Xenopus tropicalis: one gene and its partners. The protein of the gene in region 1 interacts with the protein of each later gene in a pairwise test. Links are inferred from orthologs where the notes say so. Each region holds a gene or a part of one and is shown in the gene's direction. Other genes may lie near its edges. The genes, in order: htt, fez1, hypk, cul5, rnf20, ezr and gapdh.

Region 1 (3,500 bases):
AGAACTCCTTCCCCCCCCTTAGGAATGTGCATCTGAGCCAATCAGCAGGAAGCTGACTCATAGTCTTACTAACTGAGCATGTTCACTTGGTCTGCATGTCTGTGCAGGAGTGAGGCATTATGGGAACTTTCTTTACACAGCTCAGCATTTTTTCTTCCTGTCTGGCTTCAGATCATCTGAACAAGTGAAATATGGGGAGACTCAAGGGCACTATTGAGACAACTGAAGTTATTCCTGCAGCTTGACTGTTTACTAGCCTTTCCTTCTCCTTTAAGCTGTACAAAGTCAGTGCCCATAACTTTTTGAGATGTATTACATCCACTGGTAAAAGCATATTTGAAGTGATAGCCTACCCCCATTGTAATGTTATTCTTACATTGTGAGTTATCTCTTGCAGTGTGCAATGGTATTTTATGAAACAGTGAAAAAAACAAGAAGAATGTATGCTATGCCTGGAATGTTAGAATTTTCCTTTTAAGCTGCATAATACATAATAAACATGGGGGGTATCAATGGTGTCTGAACACATCTGTATATTCCTGTTTTAGAACAGATGACGCATGGGCTAATTTACAATTTTTTTGTTGTTTTATATAAGAGGTACCCTCAATTGGATATTATGGATTGCCAGTATGTAATGACGTTTCATTGTGCATCCAAATAGTCTTTATTACTTTGTATTCTTCTTTAAAAAGGTTTAAATCAAACTCATCTTTTAAAAACCATGGGCCATAGCCGACAGTCCTCTGACAGTAGCGTGGAGCGCTTTGTACCCAAGGAGGAACCTGTGGATCCTGGCGATCTGGAAAACAAAGTGAGTAACATGGATCAAGTTGTCATGTATATATATATATATATATGTACTACTGCTTAACAATAAGCTATTTATTCCAAAAGCTCTGTTACACCAAGTTATTCCCCCATTCAGTTTTACAATTTTATGTTTGAAGAACAAAATAAATCTTTGATTTAAAAGGGCAGTATAATCCTTTTCCAACATTAGTTCAATAAATATGGCTTGTGCTTTTTTTTTTTAAAAAAAAAATTTCTATCACAAAAATTGAATGTTAGTTCACACTCTATTTGCTGGTTTGCCCAAACAGAATCCAAACAAATCCGTAGTCCACAGAGAAACCATCTGTATAAACAAACCCCTCTTGTTCATGGGCCTTTGTTATGCTTTTATAAAGAGCAGCTCATTATACAGAGGACCTCTTGAGTTGTTTTGATTGTGCTTCGACAAACCAGGTCGGCAAATTATGGTTAAATCTGGCAGCAGTTTCTACCACTACATGCAAAGTATGCAAACTGTAATTCTCATGCACTGATTGCTAAAGAGGATCACTCCAGTTCACTGCCTAAGGTGGCACCGGACAAAGATACAACCCTGAGTAAGCTGCCCCTTTTAAGTTGTCTCCAAGCTGAATGGTGCTAGAATAAATTGTTTGCTTCAATGTTTTTTCAGCCTTCAAGAATAAAGGGAGATATTGGGCACTATATGGATAAAGATGCTGCTCCTTTAATTCACTGCGTACGACTCCTGTCAGCTTCCTTTCTGCTCACTGGACAGAAAAGTGGTAAGAATTGAAATGGATTGATCTTACAACTCCTTCCTTCCAGAGCCTGAGAGAGCCTTTGATTTCCACATAGATACTTAACCCCTGTGCTACTGGAGCTGGTAGAGGAATGAGGAGTTTTTGTTTTGTTTTTAATTTGGGTGCTTATTGAGAACATAATAGAGAGGAAGGTACAAAGCATACATAGCTCATGATTAATGATATACAACAACCTGTGCATGCAAATCATGACCATCCAGTGTTGTATTGATTACGCAGTGGATCTTATACTCGAGTAAGTGCAGAGAAATGTGTTATGGGGTATCACTAGGGTGCAGCTTCAGCCATGGGTCCCACCTTTCTAGATGCCAAGTATCTTGCGTTGGAAGCTCCTATTCAGGTAGGGTAGACAAAACTGTTTTTCCAATAAAGCTGTGGTCTAAAATATAGTTAGATCTAAGGCTTGGGGGAACTCTGGGAGAAATTCCCAGCAGGGTTTATTTGGTGTAGTTTGGAAGTTCCACACCAAGAATAGCTGTCTAGTATGGTTTGGTAATTGGACAGAACCAGAGCATGTTTACTAGATTACCATTCTCAACTTTGTATCTGGGGTACAGTGGCGATGTTCTTATACATTGTATTTAAATACTTATCTCAGGTTGGTTAGGCTTTATGGAGGATATTTATGAGTGAAATGCATCTATACCTATAATTAGGTGAGACCCTTAAAGAGGATGTTCACCTTTGAGTTAACTAGTATGAAGTAGAGAGGGATATTCTAAAAGTATGTGCATCTGGTCTTCATTTTTTATTATTTGTTGTTTTGTAATTATTTCACTTTTTGTTCAGCAGCTCTCCAGTTTAGAATTTCAGCAGTTATCTGGTTGCTAGGGTCTAGATTACCTTAGCGACCAGGCATTGGCTTTAATGAGAGACTCATATATGAATAGGAGTGGGCCTAAATAGAAGGAAAAGTAATAAAATGTAACAATAACAATAAAACTGTAGCCTCACAGAGCAATTGTTGTTTGGATGCCGGGGTCAGTGACCCCCATTTGAAAGATGCAAAGAGAAGAAGGCAAATAATTTAAAAACTATAAAATATAAATAATGAAGACCAATTGAAAAGTTGCTAGGAATAGGCCATTCTATAACATATTAAAAGTTAACTTAACTTAAAGGTGAACCACCCCTTTAAGGGCCCAACAGCGCTTTACACAATTTAGCATCATCAGAACCCCTGAGATCCGCTTCAGTATGCGGAATGTTGTGAGGTGTGTAGCTTTGTATATATCCTGGATAGAAATGGGTTTTTAAACACTGTTTTTTCCAGTAGGAGAAGTTTGTGATAGATTTATGACCTCTTAAAAACTGTATGCATTTGCCTGAATATCCCCAATCTCCTTGTTCCTGCAGTGCTTGTTCCAGACAGAGACGTACGGGTCAGTGTAAAAGCCTTGGCTGTCAGTTGTGTTGGGGCAGCTGTTGCTTTGTTACCAGAATCTTTCTTCAGCAAACTGTACAAACTGCCCACTGAAACTACTGAATCTCAAGGTAAGTTTTTCCTGCTAAAACACCCTCATATCATTAGGTGCAGGGTTTATGCATGGTTTGTAATGGTCTCTAATTGTCATATAAACTTGTGTATTTAGAGTTCACTTTTCTCCATTTTGCTGACTGGCTGAATGTATTTCTTCTTCTCTCTCTCCCTTTGTAGAAATACAGTATGTTTCAGATATTCTTAATTATATTAACCACGGAGATCCTCAGGTTAGAGGAGCTACAGCAATCCTTTCCGGGACCATTGTCTTTTCTGTGCTTAGTAAAGCACACTTTGAAGCAGAAACCTGGATTTCAAAGGTTAAAGCCAATACAGGTAGTATTTGTGCTATTAGTTTTATGCTTTATATTAGATTGTGATGTGTAGTTATTTTCATAATAGAG
Region 2 (3,500 bases), on another chromosome or scaffold:
TTAATTAAACCCAATAGGATTGTTTTGCATCCAATAAGGATTAATTATATCTTAGTTGGAATCAATTACAAGGTTCTGTTTTATTTCTACATAGAAAAAGGAAATCAGTTTTAAAATTCTGAATTATTTGATTAAAATGGAGTCTATGGGAGACGGGCATTCCGTAATTCGGAGCTTTCTGGATAATGGGTTTCCGGATAAGGGGTCCGATACCTGTATAGTAATTTGGCTTTTATTATGTAGACGTTACAGGTTTAACTTTCACAGGAAAGTTCTTTATAAACTAGCATAATAGGGAGTAACCTAGTAAGTTTACCTAAAAAATGGAATCTGGAAATAATGTTCTCATACATTTATACAGGCCTGGATTTCTTAACGCATCGCCCCAAGGCTGCCCCAATAGCTCCCCCCCCCCGGCGCGCATGCAAGTCCATTTAACTCACGTATGGAGTAGTGCAGAGAGGACGCGCTGAAGTTTTCTGGGCATTCGGTCCCCATTGCTCCATATGTGAGCAAATTTTCATTCATTTCACAAGGAAAGCAGGACAACTGACCTGCAGAACATATGGAAGTCTGTTAAATTAGAAATTCATACAATTCTAATCTGCAAGAAACACAGATATTTTAGAATCTGTGCTATTCAACTAGCTGTGCATGTTACCACTGAGACACGGGGGCCATGTTGTAACACTATCATATCAAAATTGAGTTGGGGACAACTTGGATTTAGCACTTACACAGACCCACCCAGAAAAAGGCACAGAAAACGTCCTTCTCTTTCATATCCAGGAAATTAATTTTAACCAGAAGCCATGCTAATACCTCCAAAATGCAGCCTTGGGTAACAAAATGTTTTCAGCAACATGGGTAGATTATGGAGTACTTCAGAAAACAGACTTTATTTATTTTTGTATGATTTTCCTAACAAATTATAAAAATAAAATATATTATGAAACTGATAAGAATATCACCATGTCCATTAAGTTGGAGGTGATTGCAAGAATCTTTAAAAAATATTATATAAATGGATTTTCAATTAAAGCTCTACCTTTTTTTTAAAGCATTGCACCGTACTATCATATCTTATACATAATAATATTTTTATTGCTTTCCATAGCGTTTTAGCATAGAAGGACTCTCCAATATTCTCCAGTCAGGGATCAGACAGACCTTTGGAAACTCTGGAAATGATAAGCAGGTGAGCTGTATATTTCAGTACTACATACTATGGGGCAGATTTATCATAACACGAGTTTGAATCCTGAATGGGAAAAATTCGGATTGGAAACGAAAATTTCTGAAGATTGCAAATATCGCGTAAATGCTTACGAAAAAATCGTAATAGTCACGATAATATTGTATTGGTGCTCCGAAAGTCACAAAATTTTTTATCGAGAAATTGTAAACAGCGGCAAAACCGATGTGATTTTTTCGATTGGAACGAACGAAGCTCGGAGCGTTCGTGGATAAGTAAATGTGCCCCTATGTGTCGCAAGCAAACACTGATGATTCTTAGGGAGGGCTCCCCTGAGGACCCAGTATACAGTAAGCTTCTGCAACTCAATTCTCAACTCTGATTGTACTGAACTGATTTAGAGAGGACAGGTATTATTTCACTTGCCTGTGACCTTGGTAGTGTATTTTGATATCTGTTCAAAACACACCAATGTATACAAGGGGTATCCTTTATGAGGGTGGCACAGTAAAGATTTCAAAGTAATTATTGCTACCTTGGTAAGAAAAAATCCTCCTTCTAGGAAGGACACTGTATCAGCTTCACTCACATTAATATAAAATATTCTTTTGTATTTTTGGACAAAAAAATACCGAAAATATTTGTTCACATGTCATAATATCCAGTGCTTGGCACCAAAATGATGACTGTGCCCAGTTCTTTAAGCACAAGTTAATATTATCAGTTGATGCAAGACACTGTGGGAGCCCTTATAAGAGTGGCGGTAGCACTATTGTATATGCAGTGCCCCTGCAGTGTTTTGGCATCATTTTTTTATATATAGTTTTGTTTCCTTTAGTATCTAAACACAGTGATACCATATGAGAAGAGAGGGACCCCTCCATCAGTTGAGGACCTGCAGATGCTGACTAATAGTAAGGCTGTCTCCATTAGAACATGTATAAGAACTGTTGTGTCATTTTGTAAACTTTTTTATAATCATATAAACAATATTTTAAAAAATGTTTGTATTACATTACATATATTATCATATATAGTCTGCACTTAAAATCTCTTACTATAACTAAACTGCTATGTAAACCTAATGCATTGCCTTCACACACATAACAGTGATTAGTATTAGTCTTTGCAACAAAAGCTCCATTCCCTGTATTCCTGATTGTTTTGTACAAAAAGGGTGGGATTGTGGTCACTATTTGTCTGTGCCATCCATGTATATATAGATATACAAAGTTGCTTTTGCTCTGAATCTACTGATTGAAACTATAATTGTTATTTGCTATTTGTAAATGTAATTGGGATTTAATGCAGTATCTGTCTTGTTTTTCTTTGCCCTACTGGCTCCTGGCACAATGAAGCACAAGGGTAGCAGGAAATAAATATTGCTTTGAATTAAAATGATTAATACAAATAAATTTAAAACCACTGACATTTCTTAAAGGCGTAGTTCACCTCTAAATTAACTTTTAATATGATGCAGACATTGATATTCTAAGACACTTTGCAGTCGGTCTTCTTTTTTATTTTTATGATTTTTCAGTTATTTAGCTTTTTGTTCAGCAGCTCTCTAGTTGGTATTGTATTTACCTTAGCAACCAGGCAGTGGTTTAAACAAGAGATGGGAATATGAATAGTTGAGCACCTGCATAGAAAGATAAATATTAAAAAGTAACAAAAATAATAAACATTGTATCCTTTCAGAGCAATAGTTTTTGGCTGATGGGGTCAGTGGCCATTTGAAAGCTGGAAAAAAGCAGAAGAGAAATAATTCAAAAACTTTAAAAAATAAATAATTAAAAACAATAGCAAAGTTGCTAGGAACAGGCCATTCTCAGTTAAACCATCCCCTTAATGAATGTATATTTGAAAGTTGCTAAGAATTACATTTCCATGCTGATAACAAGACAGTTCTATTTATTCTTTATTTTTAAATGTAGTAAACTTCATATACGGCACAAAATTTATACTGAAAACGTTAGGTCCAAGTATTCCAGATAATATATCCCATTGTTGTGTAAATTAAAATGTAACAAATACTTGAAATGCATGTATATTTTTATAATATTTTATAAATATCGGGCTAATTGTATGCACAGAGCTGTACATTACATTTAGCGAACATTTAGAAAAGGCTTTTGTTAGGACAAAAATATTGGCATACCAATAGTGCAATACTATTAGACCTTTGACTTTGCATCCATCATTCTGAATGATTTATGATTCTGCCCTTATGGTTCATTGCTCATGAGTTGCTAATATTTGTTGATAGGGAGACCAAAATCCACCATCCACAACTCTCAGTGCC
Region 3 (4,043 bases), on another chromosome or scaffold:
CACACACAAAAACTATGGTTGTGTGCAGTTGCCCAATATTTTGGCAAAACATGGAAAACGGAATTACATATTCCCTCTTAGCTGTGCTTTTGTGAGTGGACACAACAAAGTAAGGAGTGCACAGAAGTTTCCATGGAGCCTCATCACTGAGAAGTTACTCAGTTTTTTTTTTAAACATGTTTAAAAGAGATTGTTTTAATACGAAGCGGGCACGTTTATGAACAATAGGCAATTCTACAAGATACTTAAGTTTGTCTCATATTCAGTCATTTTATTTGACCTGGTGCTGTATAATCCAACAAACAGCTTTCCTCTGCAGAGACGTCAACTTTCGAGTCTTTACTTTTGGGTGTGTTTGGGCAACACCTTGTTTAGCCCCCAGCTCTGCCCTTCCCTGTCTCTGAGCTCATTTTAGGAGGATTTAGGTTCTTTTCAGTTGAATAATCGGATTGGAAACAAACATTTTGTGACTTTTTTGTATTTTTTGCGATTTTTTTCATCCCTTTTGTGACTTTTTCGTGAATTGTCGCAATTTTTTCGTAGCTGTTACGACTTGCGCGAATTGTCGCAACTTTTTCGTATTGAGCGCTAGTAAGCGGCGGGCAAACCTTTCCGATTTTTTCGCGACGGCTACGAAAAAGTCACAATTCGCGCAAGTCATAGCAGCTACGAAAAAGTCGCGACAGCGAAGAAAAAATCGCAAAATACCAATCATTACGAAAAAAACGCATTCGGGCACTTTCGATCCGTTCGTGGATTAGTAAATCGGCCCCTATTACTATGGGGAGTGGGACCAGATATCTTCTGATAAACATAGGAGTTTTGATAGGTCGGCATTAGTCAGTTGCATGAAATCAATTAAACTGTCAGCTTTGACTGCCGCAAATGTGCCCAATTGCCAACAAGCATTCTCTTGGACAAATGATTCTGTTAATCCTCATGCCAGAGTAAAACTACTAAACTACAAATATTATTTGTCTTTTAAAATCTTTAGACAAATATCTAAATATTTAAAACACCATTGATGCCCCGTTGTTTCTACGGTAGCAATCAATCTAACGTTTCAGCACAGGAGAAGGCAAAGTTTATGCAAGAACTTTCTTTTCCGGTTTAATGGAACGCATAGTTGTCCCGCCCCCTGCCCAAAGAACGATAGAGATCGCGGAAGTGACGAATGCAATAGGCCAAGAAACCGGAAGCGGCGATTGAAGCGAGTTTTACTGCCTTGTGTTCCGGTACAGGTGGGAAAGATGGCGGCAGAAGGGGATGTTGAGTTAGAATTGGAGACTGAAGAGAACTGCAGCGAGCGTCCTGCCGACAAACCGCGCAAACATGACAGTGGGGCCGCTGATCTGGAGAGAGTGACAGACTATGCCGAGGAGAAAGAGATTCAGAGCTCCAACTTGGAGACGGTGAGAGAGAAATAATAGCCTGGGTTATTGGAAAGGGCATGGACTGATGATCGTTTGCTCTGGATGGCTGCAATAAAGCAATACTTATGTTTACTGTCACTGTTAGGTTATTGTAGAAAGACAGTGGAAGATACTTGCTTGGCAGATCAGGCAGATACAGCTTTTAGCTGGTGTGCGGGGCAATCATTACATGAGTAGAGGCATTATTAAAGGGGAAATACTGTGCCAGGAGGAATAATGATTTCCTTGCAATTTACTCATCCACATATAGAAGGAACATGCTCTTACTAGATAACCTTTGCATTGGTTTCCCATATACTCCTAACACCAGCCTGGCATTTGACTCTCACTGGTTACCTGCCCTGGCTGCACTGTATCATGCCAGCCAGCTGCCATCTTGTAAGTGGGCATTACAGCAGAGCTGCAATTAGCTTCCTAAATTCTACTTTACTTCTGGGGAAGGAAGGTTAGAACAAACCCGTCCATTTGGAACAAGAGGTTACTGGTGTGCTAGACTTAAGGCCGAACTTAAATAAAGTTACCAGGGGCAACAAAGTGAGTGAGAATTCAACACTGCTTTCCCTTTAACTGTATTGAAACATTGTTCATACATTTTGAATGACTGCTTATGAAGAAAGAACTCTGTGTTCCAAGACTGGTATTCTAATCTCACCTGTCTTTTGTGCAGGCCATGTCAGTGATTGGAGACAGAAGATCAAGAGAACAGAAAGCAAAACAGGAGAGGTAATTGCAATACCATATACAACATTTTATACTGGCCCTTTCCATTGCATTGTAATCAGGTCTCATTTAAAATGTAGAATGGAGTTTTATAAAGTAGAGTATTACTGGGCAGTGTCATTACTAATGGGTTCAACAGATATGGACTGTTTAGCATCTGGTTGCTGTCAGTAAGCTGCGGGATCATGTAGTAGTGTCAAAGGCTCAGTGTGACTGAAACACATTGGAGAGGCTTTAAATTGTGCCACATACTTGGTACCCATGCCATAATAGATCTTGTTAGGAGTAATATAATGAAAGCTAATGACTCCTGTGGCTTTGTAGTAAGCAACCTCTGCTGTACTGTAGATTCTGGCAAGGATAGTTGTCCACTGGTGGCCTTTTAGCCTGTGTCACTAGTACACTGATTATCCAAAAATTATGCAGCAGTCTGTTGAATAGAGTGTCGCTACTACTTTTGAGGTTTATTGGGAGTGTTATGGTTTTTACCAAATATGAAGACTTCTCAATGTTCTTTTAGTGATGGTTCAAACACAATTTTTTTGATCTATCTGCTCAGAAGCTGCCTACTCGGTTCCGTTGAAATCGCAATAATTTTTATAAATACAATAGCTAATCAAGCTTCTATTTTTTCAGAGAAAAGGAGCTGGCCAAAGTAACAATCAAGAAAGAAGACGTGGAGCTTATTGTAAGTATGGATAGTGATCTGGGCAGGAGCCAGTGACTGTGGTATAGTCAGAAGTATCAGGATTGAAATTGTAACGTGCAAGAATATTACCTAGCAAAACTGGCCAGTGGATCATGTGTAGTTTGGCCATATCCTCAGGCCAACTTTTCTCTCTCGCCAGGCTGTAATTGGAATCGAGATTAGATCAATTGTGTATTTACTATTAGCTGGCATTAAGGTGGGGGTGGAAGAACCAGTAGAAGAGAGTGCTGGATAAACTGGAGAGTATTGGTGGCTGCTGTATGCAGATATGGTAACACTAGTCTTGCATTGGAGGCCTCTACTGAAAAATGATTTGTTCTTAAACAGAGCATTATAGTTATGACTTAGTTATAAAATGAGAATATTTTCATTTTCAGATGAATGAAATGGAAATCCCTCGAACAGCAGCAGAAAGAAGCTTGCGGGAACACATGGGGAATGTAGTAGAGGCGCTGATTGCTTTGACCAACTGATCTTCTGGATGCTGCACGGATTTTTATCTTGTTGAAGAAAATTTACTTAGAACTGAAAAGATTTTATACTTTCATTAAGAGTTGTGGACTTTATTAGGACATTAAACAGTGCTGTTTTCCTTCTTAGCATGATTATTTGGACATATTAAAAATAATGCATTATTCAGGGCTCCATTTCCAAATACTGAAGCCAACAGTAAGTGTACTAATTTATTTAGAATAAACACCATCTTTCTAAATACGATTCTGAGTGCTGCTTTAACTGGCCATGCCGTGTACACATCTCTGAAATAGTATGTATGTGATCGAATTCATTGCCATAATTATCATTAATTGTGGTGTTTTTTAACAGTAACTGTAGTGTTTTACTTATTTTTATCCCAGACATAAACATAGAAGACCTAAGTGTATTGTCCCCAAGAGTATCAGACCACATGGAGGCACACAGATTTCTCCCATAATAAGCACTTGAGTAAATTAGTGGCACACTGTATTTTGAAAGCATGCACTTTACACATAGAGATGGTGCCCATGGAAGCAATTGACAGCCCATTATTTATACTATATGGGTCCAGGTGACCTATACTTTTGCTGTCATGTACAGTAGAACCAAGGTCACTTACCCTTTTATTGAGAGATCTAGTGAGACAAGCAGGAAAGCATTAAAGGAGAACTACAGCCTAACTAAAGTAGTAGGACAGAAATGTG
Region 4 (3,500 bases), on another chromosome or scaffold:
AGAACAGCCCTATTGGGTTTATTTAATGGTTAAATGATTCCCTTTCTCTGTAATAATAAAACAGTACCTGTACTTGATCCCAACTAAGATATAATTACCCCTTATTGGGGGCAGAACAGCCCTATTGGGTTTATTTAATGGTTAAATGATTCCCTTTTCTCTGTAATAATAAAACAGTACCTGTACTTGATCCCAACTAAGATATAATTACCCCTTATTGGGGGCAGAAGAGTCCTATTGGGTTTATTTAATGGTTAAATGATTCCTCTTTCTCTGTAATAATAAAACAGTACCTGTACTTGATCCCAACTAAGATATAATTACCCCTTATTGGGGGCAGAACAGCCCTATTGGGTTTATTTAATGGTTAAATGATTCCCTTTTCTCTGTAATAATAAAACAGTACCTGTACTTGATCCCAACTAAGATATAATTACCCCTTATTGGGGGCAGAAGAGTCCTATTGGGTTTATTTAATGGTTAAATGATTCCCTTTTCTCTGTAATAATAAAACAGTACCTGTACTTGATCCCAACTAAGATATAATTACCCCTTTTTGGGGGCAGAACAGTCCTATTGGGTTTATTCAATATTTGAATGATTTTTAGTAGACTTAAGTTATGGAGATCCAAATTACAGAAAAATCCCTTATCCAGAAAACCCCAGGTCCCGAGCTTTCTGGATAACAGGTCCCATACCTGTAATTGGATGCCAGTATGGAAGAGTTTAATGTCGTATTGGTTGGGCATTTGGTTTCCCTTCCTTCATGTATGGCAGGGATCCCAGGCAACTTGTAGCCATTCCTGAGATTAGTCGCCCACAGTAGCCGAAGTTTAACCTCAGGCAACTGATCTCTGTGTGCCATTGCCCTTAAGGCCCTCAAAACACTGTGCTTGCTGTGCCCTTGCAGTTGTGTTCCTGCACTTCTCCCCGCAGTGAGTTGCATATTGAACCCCATTTTGCAAAGGTATGGGGACGTCATGCTGAGCACTGAAAATAATGCTAGGTACAATTCTGCACAGTAGCATCATATGCAATGCCCCTTGCGACTGCAATGGTCTTGGCATTCTGGTAAAAAAAACACTGAGAAAAAAACATGGCACTTGCTCACTGCACTTGTGGGCGTAAATGGATCCCCATTATTTATAAATGTACAGTAAGTGTTAAACATTTGGTATCCTTACTGCTATTTAATAGGTTGGTGCACAGTAGATATTGTTCCCATTTAGCACCCTCAGCTAGACATATGGGAGAGCTAATTATGACAGCCCTTCGTTAAGGCTTCTAGCTCTGTGTAACTGAAAGGGAACGGGCCCATAGCTGGACTGGTCACGGCGCTGGCCTATTTATAGCCTGCTGCATAGCAGCCCTGTGTAGCTATTTCTGGGAAATGCCTGTTGCAGTCTGTGCAAAACCTAAAATATAACCCTGCCCAAAAATTTCTATCACTGTAGCTGCGCACAGATGTATATTGGCTTGATTCATTCGATTATCACATAAACATTTATGGCAGGGAGAAAACATTTCCAAAACAATTTTTAAAAGTAATTGGACTTAAACAATTTCTGTACCTTACATTTTAGCCATTCATGGAAACTGGCGAAATGACATGTACTGTTTTATTATTACAGAGAAAAGGGAATCATTTAACTATTAAATAATCCCAATAGGGCTGTTCTGCCCCCAATAAGGGGTAATTATATCTTAGTTGGGATCAAGTACAGGTACTGTTTTATTATTACAGAGAAAAGGGAATCATTTAACCATTAAATAAACCCAATAGGACTGGTCTGCCCCAATAAGGGGTAATTATATCTTAGTTGGGATCAAGTACAGGTACTGTTTTATTATTACAGAGAAAAGGGAATCATTTAACCATTAAATAAACCCAATAGGACTGGTCTGCCCCAATAAGGGGTAATTATATCTTAGTTGGGATCAAGTACAGGTACTGTTTTATTATTACAGAGAAAAGGGAATCATTTAACCATTAAATAAACCCAATAGGGCTGTTCTGCCCCCAATAAGGGGTAATTATATCTTAGTTGGGATCAAGTACAGGTACTGTTTTATTATTACAGAGAAAAGGGAATCATTTAACCATTAAATAAACCCAATAGGGCTGTTCTGCCCCAATAAGGGGTAATTATATCTTAGTTGGGATCAAGTACAGGTACTGTTTTATTATTACAGAGAAAAGGGAATCATTTAACCATTAAATAAACCCAATAGAGCTGTTCTGCCCCCAATAAGGGGTAATTATATCCTAGTTGGGATCAAGTACAGGTACTGTTTTATCACAGAGAAAAAGGAAATAATTTTTAAAAATCAAAATTATTTGCAAAAAATGGAGTCTATGGAAGGAAGCCTTTCTGGATACAGGGTTTCAGATAATGGATCCCATACCTGCAATGTCTATAGGAACATGTCATTATAAATTTGCTCTTGCTGACTTTTATAATTGTACTTGATATTTTATTGCTGTTTCTGTACAGAGATGTGTATGTGCACATGTATGATCACATACAAGTAATTAAGCAGGCCTTGTTCAATCAGCTAAAGGTGTCGATATGAAAGAATAACATTGGCTTGAAGTTAAATGAAAGTTTTATTTTACAGATGTAGGACCAAGGAACTATAGCTAAATGGCATTTGCTTTCTCTTACAGAATAAAGGTTCCCTTCAATTTGAGGACAAATGGGACTTTATGAGACCTATAGTTCTGAAACTTTTACGCCAGGAATCCGTCACAAAACAGCAATGGTTCGATTTGTTCTCGTAAGTATTAAGAGAAAAACTGTGCTAGTTAAAGTGATGGAGGAGAAACAATTTCCTGTAATGCCTAAAAGATAATCAAGGTGTGTATTAAAGGGCATTTGAAGGTAAATTTACCCTTTATATTACTCCTCCATGGAATCCTGCTTCCCACTCATGTACAGTGGCACAGTATGTTGCTGACTGATGACAAATATGCTTTAAACATTATTAAGCATCCACTGCACTTAATGGATTTATTATATTAATAACCATTCCTCTTTTAAACCATACTGACCTCAGATAATGGAGTTTGTAAATAAGGCAAGAAATGGCCTCACCAGGACCCCATAGCATGGGAATGGCATTTACAGGGTGAACACATATTTGGCCATGGTCTAGTAACCTGTAACAACCAACCAGATGTTTGTTTTTAGCTTACAAGTCAAATTGGCTATTATTATTATTATTAATAAAAAATAGACTTCTAAAAAAGTATTTAGGTCATTGGCAATTTTAATGCTTGAGTTACAGGAAAAAGGTTCCTGCATTAATTTGCTTCACATGCACGCAGGATCCCACAAGACAAAGCAGGATCAATCCTATGTATACAAACACTGTTCTGAGCAGTGTACACACAAGGCTATACTGCCCTAAATGTGTAGTAGCAAAGGTGGTTCTTAGTATTGTCTATGGCAGGGTATTTTCTGGCATTTTGTAGTTGCAACTAAGATTCTCGTTATATG
Region 5 (3,929 bases), on another chromosome or scaffold:
ATGTGTAATGTTTGTGTAAGTGCGTGTATATGGGTGTAAATGTGTAAAAAGGATTGCAGAACCTACACAGCAGGAAAGGAGTGGGTGGGCACTGGAAGTCAGGTCCTTTGACAATCAGGTAAGAAATGGGTGTCCCCTTGGCTCATTGCTGTGCAGTAAGGAAGCTCTTTAATGCAAAGCAAGTAGGCACTAAGTGTTTGGCACTTACAACATTTTTCTGCCAGTATGTGTACCCACAATGAAACACATACCTTGGAGGCACACAGACTAACCCAACCTATCTCCCCATTCCTGACAAACAGAAGGTGCCCTCATTTCCCTAACCTGACCCCCAAAGACACAAACAAACCTAGGAGTGGCACATGCTACCTCACTTTCCCACAGTCAGGTATAAAACTAGGAACACAAACAATGCAAGGCATACACATACCTAATATACATAAATAATGCCTTACTTACACACCTCCAAACCACCCCCCCATCCATAACTAGAGACCTCACTTGCTGCCACAACCCATAAGTCTAATTTCCCTACACACTGCTCTTGAGCCAAATAACCCCAAAGACATAAACCTACCACAGCTCATGTAATCTCACCACACACTGTACCTCCCCCACTAACCCAAAAAAAGCCATCCCCCAAAATTATCTAACACACCAAAAATATCAGCACACTCCAAAACTCTTCCCAGGGCTCGAAATTGTGCAGCACGTCTCACCAACCCAAACGAAAAAAAAAAATCAACAACCACCCTTCAAAAAATGCACACACCCCAAAATTCATCAGCACCCTTACCCCCAAAAAATACAAGCACTCCAAATATAAGAAGGCTCCACTAACCCCCTAACACACCTTACAGAGACCAGCAAGTGCGTAAAAGATCCACAGCCTCCACTGAACAAGCAAGTGTCCCAGTATTCAGGCAAGAACAGAACTCCTGCATTTAATCCTGTCCCAAGAAAAAAATAATGCTACCCAGCGCAACCCAATACTCACAGAATAGCGCACTGTGACACTACCTTTAATGAGCCATTCTATCCATAGCATCCCCGAGTAACCACTGTGGAACGCACTCACCTATAATTTACTTACACAGGCATTTAAAGAAGGCGCCGAATGTTACGTGTTGGAGACGTCGCCACGTCTTCACGTGATTGAACGTCACTCACGGCAGTCGGGAACTAGCAGCTACCGAGCGGATCAGGGATTGCGGGCTGTATTAAAAAATTGGCCTGTTCTGCGGGAATACGTTTGGTATGTATTTCCATATAGCAGGGGTCACCTTTAGTTTAAACTAATAAGATTAATCCTTTAGGCATGCTTGCAAGCAAAAAAGGGATATTGCAGAGCAAAACTGGTTTTGTATTATTTTCTTTTCTAAAAAGGAGAAACCGTCATACTGCAGAGTGAGAGGGAATGACTCTTTGCTTTGAAACAATAAACTTCCAAATAAGTTGTGCAGAATATACCTTTATATCAGCAGCAATGTGCATGTATCTTGCTTGCTGTTAACACATAACGTTTAGTTTTTATGTGGTTTGATGTGATCAGGTTTGATAACGTTTGACCTGCTGCAAGAATACATTAATTCCTAGAAAATGGGACATGCACATTTTGTCATTGCAATGTTTTTAAAATTGAAGGGGTTTTAAAGTTATTTGTACATGTAATATCTTTAAAAAGCTGTCTCTGTCTGGTTGCCTATATTCTTTGCTTTTGTGAAACAAGCTGATGCAAGCCAGCAGATTAAAAGAAAGATCAGACCCTTTGACATTTTTTTAAAAGTCAGACCCAGAGGATAGAAAATGATAAATAAATATGTTTTTTAATTTCCATTTTCCATTCCATTTTCACATAATTTTTAAAACCATTGAAAATGTTTAATAATGTTTATTTTTTTTTGTGCAGAATTCCTTTAATGGCTTTATTGTAACACTAGGTTACTAACCCTTACATAAAGATTTCATGTGGTAATACTCTTATTTTCATAGCATTTTCCTTTTTTAGGTAGGCTATTCATAAGCTTAGTCCTAGTGTGTATATTGGTCTGGTGAGTGTACACTCAAGTATCTGATATGTCTTTTTATTTCATTCATTTGCATGTGAATTTCTTTCTCTGTTTACACTTTGCCCTCTTTAGGTGTCTGAAATAGATGTTGAAAAGCTTACAGGGATGTCAGGGCCTGGAAGTAAACGTACTGTGGGGGATGTAGGTTCTTTAGGACCCCCTGAAAAAAAGGCAGCAGTGGAAGATTCTGGAACCACTGTCGAGACGATTAAACTAGGAAGTGTGTCTTCAACAGTAAGTGCACTTATCAATTTTGTTTACTGCGGATCTGTTTAGGACTTTTTTTGGTATGTCTATAGCTTATGTAGCATTTTGAATACAGCTGGCATTTGCCATCTGGTACTACACCTTTAAATCCTTCCAGCCTGAGGCATAACCTTCAGAAATCTAATTTAGTTTGCCTAAAGGGAACATTTGTAACACTGTGTGTTATTTTGTGTTAAAAACTATTTATAAAGCACTAAGAGGACTGATCAATACAATTCTGTGCTCCTACAGTAGTTAAATATTGGCTGTCCTATGTTAATGAGGGGAAGGATCCAGCCTCCACAGTATTGCTACCAACTATATAAAAAACTTTCTGTATGCAGAACACATGTTAAGCATGCATCTTAACCAATAATATAGGGATAGTGTCTCAGCCATTTTTATCCCTAAACATCCAAATAATTACTTACTATGCAGCTTTATGGCACACTGTGGCGTTTTGTTGCCACAATAAATCTTATGTTTTTTTCACTGGCATTTGTTTTTTTGCTGGTGGGAAGGAACCAAGGGACTTTTTTGTCTGTGGTAGCCAAGATTTATCAAAACGTCCCGTATGTCTTTGCCCCAGCTATGTTGTTTCGCTTCCATATTTAGGAAATACATTTTAAATTCCAAAAAAAAACCCATCAACATTTACCAGATATCCCTTGATGCCCAAGCCTGGGAAGGCAATGACAACTCTCAATTAAGACACTGTATCAGAGCAATAAAGTCTAACTTGTTCACCCTGGTTTTCTATAAAAGAGTAACCTATGCCTCTGTTCTTATCTAGTTCTCATGTATCTGCACAAGGGCTGTGCCAGTTATCTGATGCTGCCATTCAGGGCTGAATTGTCAGAAGCAATAGAAATTCTACCTCCACCTGCCGATTCAGCCTTAAACGTAGATTTTGCTGATGAAAATCTTCTAACATTACATTAACATTTATTTATAAAGCGCCAACATATTCCGCAGCGCTGTACAATAAGTGGGTTACATACATTGGACATACAGAGTAACATATAAAGCAATCAATAACCGATACAAGAGGTGAAGACCTGCCCGATCGACGAGATGACTGATATCTGCAGCCTTTGCGATATTGGTCGTCTTGTCTCGCCACCATAAATGCACCCAATATCGTATGAAACAAGGTTTTGTATGATAATATCGTTGCATGTATGGCTAGCTTTAGTCTTTTTAGCTGTTTACACTTCCACTCAGTTTGTTCATTGCATTAAACTGTAAGTCTGTGATCTGAGGATTTTCGTACAGCTTACGTTGTTCGCACTTGTTGGATGTAGCTGCAACATGCTACAATTGCTAGGCAGTCCACTCAGCTGAACATACTACATGAGACCTTGTTTGGCCCTGTGGTAAGACACTGTTTGAGCAGACTGTCCGTTTACTTCAGGGTCACCTGTAGTATAAAGTGTGTAATATATATATATATATATATATATATATATGAGATATATAGATCTAGAGAGAGAGAGAAATTGCAATAGCATATTATATATCACACCAAATAATACACTGTGCACCTAGTTTGGTTGACAGACAAGTCAGTATTTTGGTCAATGCTTTGACCATTATCAAGATATATATATATTT
Region 6 (3,500 bases), on another chromosome or scaffold:
CTTAAATTTTATTGAAAAGAAAACTAAACATAACAGACAGATTACCGCAGCAAGTAGATATACAGTCAAGATTGCATTGCCTTGTTATGGCAGTGCCATCAAGATATCGGAGGTGTTGGAAGTTGATGTCCAAGGGCATGTTTCATGGCATGGTTCCAGACAGGTTCCAGACAGGTGGTCTTTTGTTGATGGGGAGGCAGGTCTTTCACTTTGTATTTCTATCCTGAATAAAACAAAAAAAAAATTATAATTCTACAATTGAAAAATGTCACCTTTTAAATGGTTATAGAGCTGTCAGTTTTACTGTGATGAATGTAGAATTATATATACACTAAGGATATATATTAAGGATAACACTTAAAAGACAGTGAGAATATATTCATCTAATAAAAACTCATCAAAGTATGATGCAGGAATTATAAATGTTTAACTGCTACTTTCTTTGCTACTATATTTTCTTCATTTTCAGTTACCAAGGGAGTCTCATACATTTATTGGTTTGATATCACCGTTAAAAAGACAATATTTTGATCTGTGTTTGCAGAACTATCAGAGCAGATCCAAAGAGCCAAGGAATTGGAGGAAGAGAGAAGACGGGCACAGTATGAGGCAGAGAGATTAGAAGCAGAACGTATTTCTGCTCTCCGTGCCAAGGAAGAACTGGAGAGACAAGCAATTGCCCAGACAAAAAGCCAAGAACAACTGGTATGATACTTTTTTCTGGGACAGAGCATTAGTTCTTTCTTACTTCCATGTTTTTTTTGGAAACTCTTAATGAATATGCCAAATCTACATACACTTAATAAATGAGTGAGAAGCTTGACTTTTTGGCTTCTGAATGGAGTTGGGTCCCCAGATGCTGGACTACAGTTCCCAGAATTCTCCAGTTGTAGGCCAGAAACATCTGGGGACCAAGGTATAGGAAGCAGGGGTTGGAAAGGGGAACCATAGAACCCTGTCAGGCATTATTTTAACCTGCCACTCTCTACTTTGCATTATATTTAAATATATACATAAGGCATGTTTAAGTTTCTCTGCCAAGTTATTTGTATTCATTAAAAATATTTTTTTTATTTTTTGGTACACTTTTTGTATGTACAGTATATCCCTAACCATGACTATATTATATGTACATAATGCACTTTTCATATATATCTATACTCTAATTAGGCTTCTGAACTATCAGAATATACTGCTAGAATCTCACTGCTGGAGGAGGCCAGGAGAGTCAAAGAAGATGAAGCAAGCGAGTGGCAAATGAGGGTAAGTTTTTTACACTTTCTATGAAACTAAACATGTTTCTTTCTTTGTAAGCTTGTGAGAACCACAACATACGCTTTCTTCAAATTAAGGGAGTTTATTTAAAACACAGAAGTGACCATTTCAGCACATTTGTTGAGCTCTCTAAATAAATTGAACCCCTTGCGGACTACCAGTAAGAAAACACATATATTTGGGGTCACTTCTGTACTCACTATACTCCTTTGGGAGGATTGCTCAGCCTCTTGTTTTTCATCAATTTCACAGTGACTCAGACTCTCAGTCCCTTCATCAAAGGCTCCTTGTGCTCCTTGACGTGGCAGCACCCACAGCCCCTCTGGGAGGTCCCAACACAGGCTCTGTGCCCTGTTCAGAGAGACCTTTCTAACATTCTCACTACAATTAAATACCTTTCCACAGGAGCCTTCCTGTTGAAAGTGAGCTCCAGTTTATGAGCTGGACTACTGGAATGGATTATCTGGCCTGCCTGATTCTTTCCAGAACACTATAGCTTCCAGGACCAGGCAGCAAAATCCTTTAAACAATGAAAATGTTCTCTGTTTAGCAACATCTCCCTTGAAGCTTACATCTCCCACTATCGACAACTTAAAGGTAAAACTCACCATTTGACACATTAATTAATTATGCTCTCTCAAAACTTTATTAAAAAAACCCCAATCATCATTTTCACAACAAAGCATTCTGTCACAGAGATCACTGATATCTTCTGGAACCTATTCTTGCCACTTCCTGCATGAAGCTAAACTGGCCATACTCAGGCAGATTTAAAATGCTGCTTTGTCCTCATCAGACAGAGCAGTTTATATTCCTCCTGGCACAATGCATTAACCCTATTTACTGACCATCTTAGGGGCTGAGCCGAGTGCTGGGAGGCATGCTCTCATGTGCCTGTGTAGTGGGATTAGATAGAGAATTGCATCTGTGTGAGGGAATGTGGATAAAAAAAACTGTAAGGAACTAATCCAAAAGGGCACTGCTCAGGTACAAGCATGAACTTTTTCTATTTGTATGACCCTGATGAAGGTTTATGCTGTAAGGGCCAAAATGCGTTGGGTTTAATCTATATGGTTTTTTAAATGGTAAAATTGCTGCAGGAAAGCAGCATGCATACACAGGAACATTCTCAGTCCTTAAAGAGGAAGCATGCATAAGTGCAGTTAGATAGTAGGTCTACTGCCTATAGTTATAGTGTTAGTGGCATTCAGTGTAGGTAAGTCACACACCTCAGTCTCCAGTGGTGGCACCCTGTGTGAGTAACTGGCACACTTCAGTCTCTAGTGGCAGCATTCTGTGTAGGTGACTGAAACACCACAGTCTCCAGGGCATTTGCAAATAAATCTTCTGTTGTGAAAATAAAATAACCCAAAATCTCCTTTCACTCAAGTGCAGTACAAACCTCTGCTGCCCAGCACCCAGGTATTTATTAATTTATATGCAAATCAGTGAGATTGCTGTTGTCCACCTTAGCACTATGTTGTTGAGCTACTTAAAAAGTAGTGCTGAAAGTGTGAAAAATTGCCCTACTGCTTTATGGACCTCTTGTGCATTACACAACCAAACCAATATGGGTTAGTTGAGCTGGCAAGGGAGAGCAGCTTGGGTATACTCTGAGTGAGACAATGTGGGGGAGAGACAGCCTTCCACTCCCAATATTCAACAAAAAGTACAATTCATTTTTTTTTTTTGTCTAATGCTGTCATGTTCTTTGTCTAATGCTGCCATGTGTATTTTCAAAGTTGACCTGGTATTTGGAGGTGTGGTCACACAGTAGGCATGTTTAAAATTGGATATATGGCAGATCATTGTGTGTCTTTTTCAATTTTGTTTTTTTTGTTGGGAGTAATGAAAAATGATACAGTTCACTGTAGGTGTCAAAACTCATTGAACTGCATGAGTTGTTTGTAGAATTATGACAGAACATAAATAAATATACATACAGAACACAGTATACTAGCAACACCAGTTTCTTTGCAACATTGCTAAATATTCATTAGTTTCTACACAATCTTTTTTGTTCCTCTGCTCCACGCAAGGATTTTCAATCAGGCACAAAAGCAGAGCACAGCTTTTCCTGCAAAACAACTGTTTTTTAAAGTAGCACCAAATGGTGTGCTCTAGCACTTGCGCCCTGGAGTTGCATAAATGACCCCTTATATGATTATTATTATTATTATTAACATTTATTTATAAAGTGCCAACATATTCCGCAGCGCTGTATA
Region 7 (4,077 bases), on another chromosome or scaffold:
AGTTGTAGTTCTGTGCTACTGGTACTTTTCCAATGTAGTGTGTTTGTGAGTAATGGGGTTACTGTATTAGTGGCTAAGGATGGGATGGTGTAAGGGCTGCCTGTGCTTAGATTGGGGAGGCTTTAGGGTGGGATGAGTAATGGGGTTCTGGTAGATATAGGGAAGTGGGAACCTTGGGTAATCAGGAGTCTGTGTATTAATGATTTGGGTTGGACACTGGGTGAAATGGGGCACTTCCTGCCCTCTAGTGGGTGGGTATGGGCTATATGGGTGCCTTTGGGTGGGATTTAGCTGCAGGGGGACCAATTCAAGGTGCAGTGGTGTGGGGGTTAATATTAAAGGTAGGTTGTTGGGGGCACAGAGGGGTGGGTGGATGTGCCCAATAGATGGGATGGAGAGTGACTTGGGCACGGGGTACCCTCCTCTTGTTCCCCCCCCCCCCACTAATTTCCTTTCTTGCCTTTAGGGGTTGATAACTAAACCAAGTGACACCAAAATGACTGTCAAGATTGGAATCAATGGGTAAGTTAAGGGGTTAATAACTTCATTGGGGGTGGGTGCTGGGGCTTAAGGGGGTAATATGCAGGTGAGTGGGGGGAGATGCTGGGGTATAAGGGGGTAATGGACCCAGACAAACAGCTGGGGGGGGGTTAATGGCTTGGCAGATTAAAGGCCGATGGGATAGTGTTCTCTGCACGGTTTAGCGATTGGCCAGTGTAAGATGCCCCTTGGCTCTGGCAGTTGAGGGGTTATAAGTAATGAAGCTACAGACCTTTCATAAATGGTTAATGGTCCAGGCCGATTATTCTTTCAAAATGGCTGCTGCTCCTTAACCCCTCCCCTGCCAGAACCATGCGGAGTGTGAAGCTTCCTCACGTCCCACTGAGTCACTGCTCCCCACCTCACACCCCAACCCCTCCTCTCCATCCGCTGCGGCTCCCCATTGCTCCACCTTCTGCCAGGAGGGGGGTACAGTAATGCGCATGGGGGTGTCCCCAGTGTCTGGCTGCTGATGTCTCTCAAGGACAACCCCAAGGTCACAGTGTATCCTGGGCCAGGGTCACCCTTGCACTGTCAGTGTCCTATTGATGAGCTGTACCTGGGGGGCTGATGCACGGCACCTTGGGTGAATCCCCTCCCCTCGCTGCTGCAGAATAAGGAGTAATTGCACAAGTGTGGGGAAGCTGAGTCACGTCCTGCTCCCTGGTGGCAGCCGCACGTAGGCACAGTCCCCTGGCTGTTTTATTCTGGTTAGTGACCATAATCCTCACAGCACAGAGTCTGACTGGGCTCTCGTGAACCTTCTAGAGACTTCTCTCATTAAAGTGGGACACTAAGATGCCCCCCCCTGGCATGGCTAAGTAGGGCTCCTATTAATAGAGGTGTTGATGCCAGCTGCTGTAACCCACGCCAGGGACATTATCATTCTGCCCTGCACGTCTCTGCCAGGACTCGGATCCAGTACTGCCCCACAATGGAGGCTGCTCCCGTCACTCTGGCCACTCATCTCTCAGCCTTACTACACACCCTCCTGTTTGTCCTCATTACGCGTCGCTGAACTTCACTGTTGAACTTCACCCCGAGCAAAGTTCAGCCCTGAATGTGCAGCCAGTCACTCGTATTGTGCCTCGAAGCATGCAGGGCAGTGTCAGGAGTCGCAACAGGCAGGCTGTGTGATTATTGCCTGTAATAACAGGGCAGTGGCAGGCAGACTGATTATTGCTTGTAATAACAGCCATTATTCAGGTTGTGCTGCGTGAGCAGTGCTTGGATAAACTGCCCCCCCCCCCCCAGGCTGGCTCAACTGAGTCTGGGTCAGTGGAGATTTCTGTGTCAGCAGGTGTTGTGCTAATGGCGGCACAGACCTTTTTTTTAAAGGGCAAGTAAACCAAAGTACATTAAGTTTGCATATTTCTTAGTGACAGATTGCCTAAATCATGTGCCCCCCCCTTGTGCCATTTAGAATAGTGGGATCCATTTGATCTAGGTCTCTGTATTCTCTATGTAACTGGCCCCTGTTTATTGCTATTCACTATAATGACAGCTATGTAGGGTGCCCTTCCCACCCTAACTGCTTAAAAAGAGGGGGTAGCAGTGCACCCCATTACTTCTATGCTGATCAACCAATTGCACCAGGCAACACTGCCCAGCAAGAGTCGGCAATTGCCAGTGCACTGTGGACAAACATTGGTTGGCTTGGGGGTTCCCCAAGCCAACCAATGAGGGGAACCAGCATGCCTTGATTCTATGGAGGGTTATGGGAATTGTAGTTTAACATATAGGGATCAAAGGACTAAGCTGTTGCATTGTGGTTTCAGTGCATTGGCTAAACTTCCCCTTTAACATCTAGCTGTGACGTCGCATCACTTATGATGCAAGGCTTTATCTTCTTACTGCTTGCCAGTGGCACAAGGGGTTAAGCGCATAAACATCTAACGATAGAAATCATTTTTTCTTTTTAAGATTTGGCCGCATCGGGCGCCTGGTGACCCGCGCTGCTGTTTTAAGCGGCAAATGTGAAGTCGTTGCAATCAATGACCCCTTCATTGACTTGGACTACATGGTAGGTGGCTCCGTTCATCTGCATTTTTGTGTTCTGGAGTATAAAATGCTCGGGAATTAACCCCTCCCACTCTCCGCAGGCTTACATGTTCAAATATGACTCCACCCACGGCCGATTCAAGGGAACAGTGTGTGTTGAGAATGGCAAGCTGGTTATCAATGGCAAGGCAGTCACCGTCTTCCAAGAGTAAGTGAGGTTGTGGCTCAGTCCTGGCCTGGTTCTAGACTGGGTTCCTGCAGCAGAATCTAATCACAGGGGGGATGTTTACAGTTCTCTCCTCTCCCCAGGCGTGACCCCTCCAACATTAAGTGGGGCGATGCTGGTGCAGTGTATGTGGTGGAATCTACTGGAGTCTTCACAACCAAAGAGAAGGCCGGTGTAAGTAGTTACACCCCCCCCCCCCATAACATTTGGCTTTCTATATCTAGAATTCACCCTGGACTTTTTTTTTTTTAATTTTTACCTGCAGTTGCACTTGAAGGGAGGTGCCAAGCGTGTCATTATCTCTGCCCCCTCAGCTGATGCCCCCATGTTTGTTGTTGGGGTGAACCATGACAAATATGATAACTCTCTTCACGTTGTCAGGTAAGTGTGGGGTAAAAATGGGCGTTCCTTTAAAGGGGGAGCGAACTACCACAATGCTACAGGCTGTCTGCAAGCTTCTGTATTACTGGGTTAACTCTTTAGTTCTCAATAGCTCATGGTTTGCAGCTTCTGTAATCTAATAAGGGCTTGTTTACTATAACAACCATGTAAAACTCTAAGCCTGAAGGCTGTAAATCCTTAAACCTTTTTTTATCAGGATATTTGTCTATACAAATACTGATCAGGCAGGGGCTCCCTCTACTGCCCATAATAAAATTGCAGCCTGTTCTAGGTTTGCTGCTTGGCCAAACCATTCTGTACTTGATGGAACCTCTCAGTAATTGGCTAGTGCTTAGGCCTCTGTAGGCAGGCATTGATGTAGGCTGCCCATTCTCTGCCACTTTCTTTAGCTCAGGAATGTTAATGCTGTAAGTCTCACAGGCAATTACTGTTCTACATAAGCTGGCTAGCTTCAACTGGCAAAGTGGCTCTGCCTTCCCAGCCCTGGGCCTGCCTTTACAGGGCCTTGCCCCAAATACAAGCAGTAATGTGTCCTCCCTATATGGGCTGGCCTCTTTACTCTGATGGAATAAGGGAGTGATGCTTAGTTTACCTTTTCCCCTGCTTTGCCCGCAGCAACGCATCCTGCACAACCAACTGCCTGGCTCCTCTTGCAAAGGTCATCAATGACAACTTTGGCATCCTGGAGGGACTGATGGTAAGTGCAGTGGGGCTTATTCAGCTTGGGACATAGAGCCTAAAGCAAACTGTCTCCCCCCTCACCCTGTATGAGTGACCTTAATGGAAATTATACCCCCCCCAAACAATGTAGGTCTCTCTAAAAATAGTGTGAACAAGCTTGTACATAAAAACCCTGCTTTGTGCAAGTTTTCATAACTTAACTTACTTTTTTGTAGTATGTGCTACTG

Evidence for each region.
Region 2: the proteins of htt (region 1) and fez1 interact in binary tests that used the Homo sapiens proteins (3 or more experiments, as listed by UniProt). The link is inferred for Xenopus tropicalis from reciprocal best matches to the Homo sapiens genes HTT and FEZ1.
Region 3: the proteins of htt (region 1) and hypk interact in binary tests that used the Homo sapiens proteins (3 or more experiments, as listed by UniProt). The link is inferred for Xenopus tropicalis from reciprocal best matches to the Homo sapiens genes HTT and HYPK.
Region 4: the proteins of htt (region 1) and cul5 interact in binary tests that used the Homo sapiens proteins (3 or more experiments, as listed by UniProt). The link is inferred for Xenopus tropicalis from reciprocal best matches to the Homo sapiens genes HTT and CUL5.
Region 5: the proteins of htt (region 1) and rnf20 interact in binary tests that used the Homo sapiens proteins (3 or more experiments, as listed by UniProt). The link is inferred for Xenopus tropicalis from reciprocal best matches to the Homo sapiens genes HTT and RNF20.
Region 6: the proteins of htt (region 1) and ezr interact in binary tests that used the Homo sapiens proteins (3 or more experiments, as listed by UniProt). The link is inferred for Xenopus tropicalis from reciprocal best matches to the Homo sapiens genes HTT and EZR.
Region 7: the proteins of htt (region 1) and gapdh interact in binary tests that used the Homo sapiens proteins (3 or more experiments, as listed by UniProt). The link is inferred for Xenopus tropicalis from reciprocal best matches to the Homo sapiens genes HTT and GAPDH.

Annotation. Positions count from the first base shown.
Region 1 is NC_030677.2:22,766,896-22,770,395, forward strand, and holds part of htt (huntingtin), read left to right. Parts: intron 1-695; coding exon 696-814; intron 815-1,465; coding exon 1,466-1,577; intron 1,578-2,972; coding exon 2,973-3,110; intron 3,111-3,273; coding exon 3,274-3,432; intron 3,433-3,500.
Region 2 is NC_030683.2:74,207,105-74,210,604, forward strand, and holds part of fez1 (fasciculation and elongation protein zeta-1), read left to right. Parts: intron 1-1,117; coding exon 1,118-1,198; intron 1,199-2,033; coding exon 2,034-2,109; intron 2,110-3,500. UniProt on the Homo sapiens protein: May be involved in axonal outgrowth as component of the network of molecules that regulate cellular morphology and axon guidance machinery.
Region 3 is NC_030679.2:107,675,004-107,679,046, forward strand, and holds hypk (huntingtin-interacting protein K), read left to right. Parts: upstream 1-1,243; 5' UTR 1,244-1,250; coding exon 1,251-1,412; intron 1,413-2,100; coding exon 2,101-2,156; intron 2,157-2,789; coding exon 2,790-2,841; intron 2,842-3,239; coding exon 3,240-3,335; 3' UTR 3,336-3,574; downstream 3,575-4,043. UniProt on the Homo sapiens protein: Component of several N-terminal acetyltransferase complexes. Inhibits the N-terminal acetylation activity of the N-terminal acetyltransferase NAA10-NAA15 complex (also called the NatA complex).
Region 4 is NC_030678.2:159,962,315-159,965,814, reverse strand, and holds part of cul5 (cullin-5), read left to right. Parts: intron 1-2,668; coding exon 2,669-2,778; intron 2,779-3,500. UniProt on the Homo sapiens protein: Core component of multiple cullin-5-RING E3 ubiquitin-protein ligase complexes (ECS complexes, also named CRL5 complexes), which mediate the ubiquitination and subsequent proteasomal degradation of target proteins.
Region 5 is NC_030683.2:57,227,008-57,230,936, forward strand, and holds the start of rnf20 (E3 ubiquitin-protein ligase BRE1A), read left to right. Parts: upstream 1-1,129; 5' UTR 1,130-1,255; intron 1,256-1,318; exon of another isoform or gene 1,319-1,414; intron 1,415-2,141; 5' UTR 2,142-2,174; coding exon 2,175-2,303; intron 2,304-3,929. UniProt on the Homo sapiens protein: Component of the RNF20/40 E3 ubiquitin-protein ligase complex that mediates monoubiquitination of 'Lys-120' of histone H2B (H2BK120ub1).
Region 6 is NC_030681.2:64,210,901-64,214,400, reverse strand, and holds part of ezr (ezrin), read left to right. Parts: intron 1-544; coding exon 545-705; intron 706-1,170; coding exon 1,171-1,263; intron 1,264-3,500. UniProt on the Homo sapiens protein: Probably involved in connections of major cytoskeletal structures to the plasma membrane. In epithelial cells, required for the formation of microvilli and membrane ruffles on the apical pole. Along with PLEKHG6, required for normal macropinocytosis.
Region 7 is NC_030683.2:10,006,238-10,010,314, forward strand, and holds the start of gapdh (glyceraldehyde-3-phosphate dehydrogenase), read left to right. Parts: upstream 1-1,277; 5' UTR 1,278-1,325; intron 1,326-2,463; coding exon of another isoform or gene 2,464-2,560; coding exon 2,561-2,563; intron 2,564-2,642; coding exon 2,643-2,749; intron 2,750-2,850; coding exon 2,851-2,941; intron 2,942-3,032; coding exon 3,033-3,148; intron 3,149-3,784; coding exon 3,785-3,866; intron 3,867-4,077. UniProt on the Homo sapiens protein: Has both glyceraldehyde-3-phosphate dehydrogenase and nitrosylase activities, thereby playing a role in glycolysis and nuclear functions, respectively.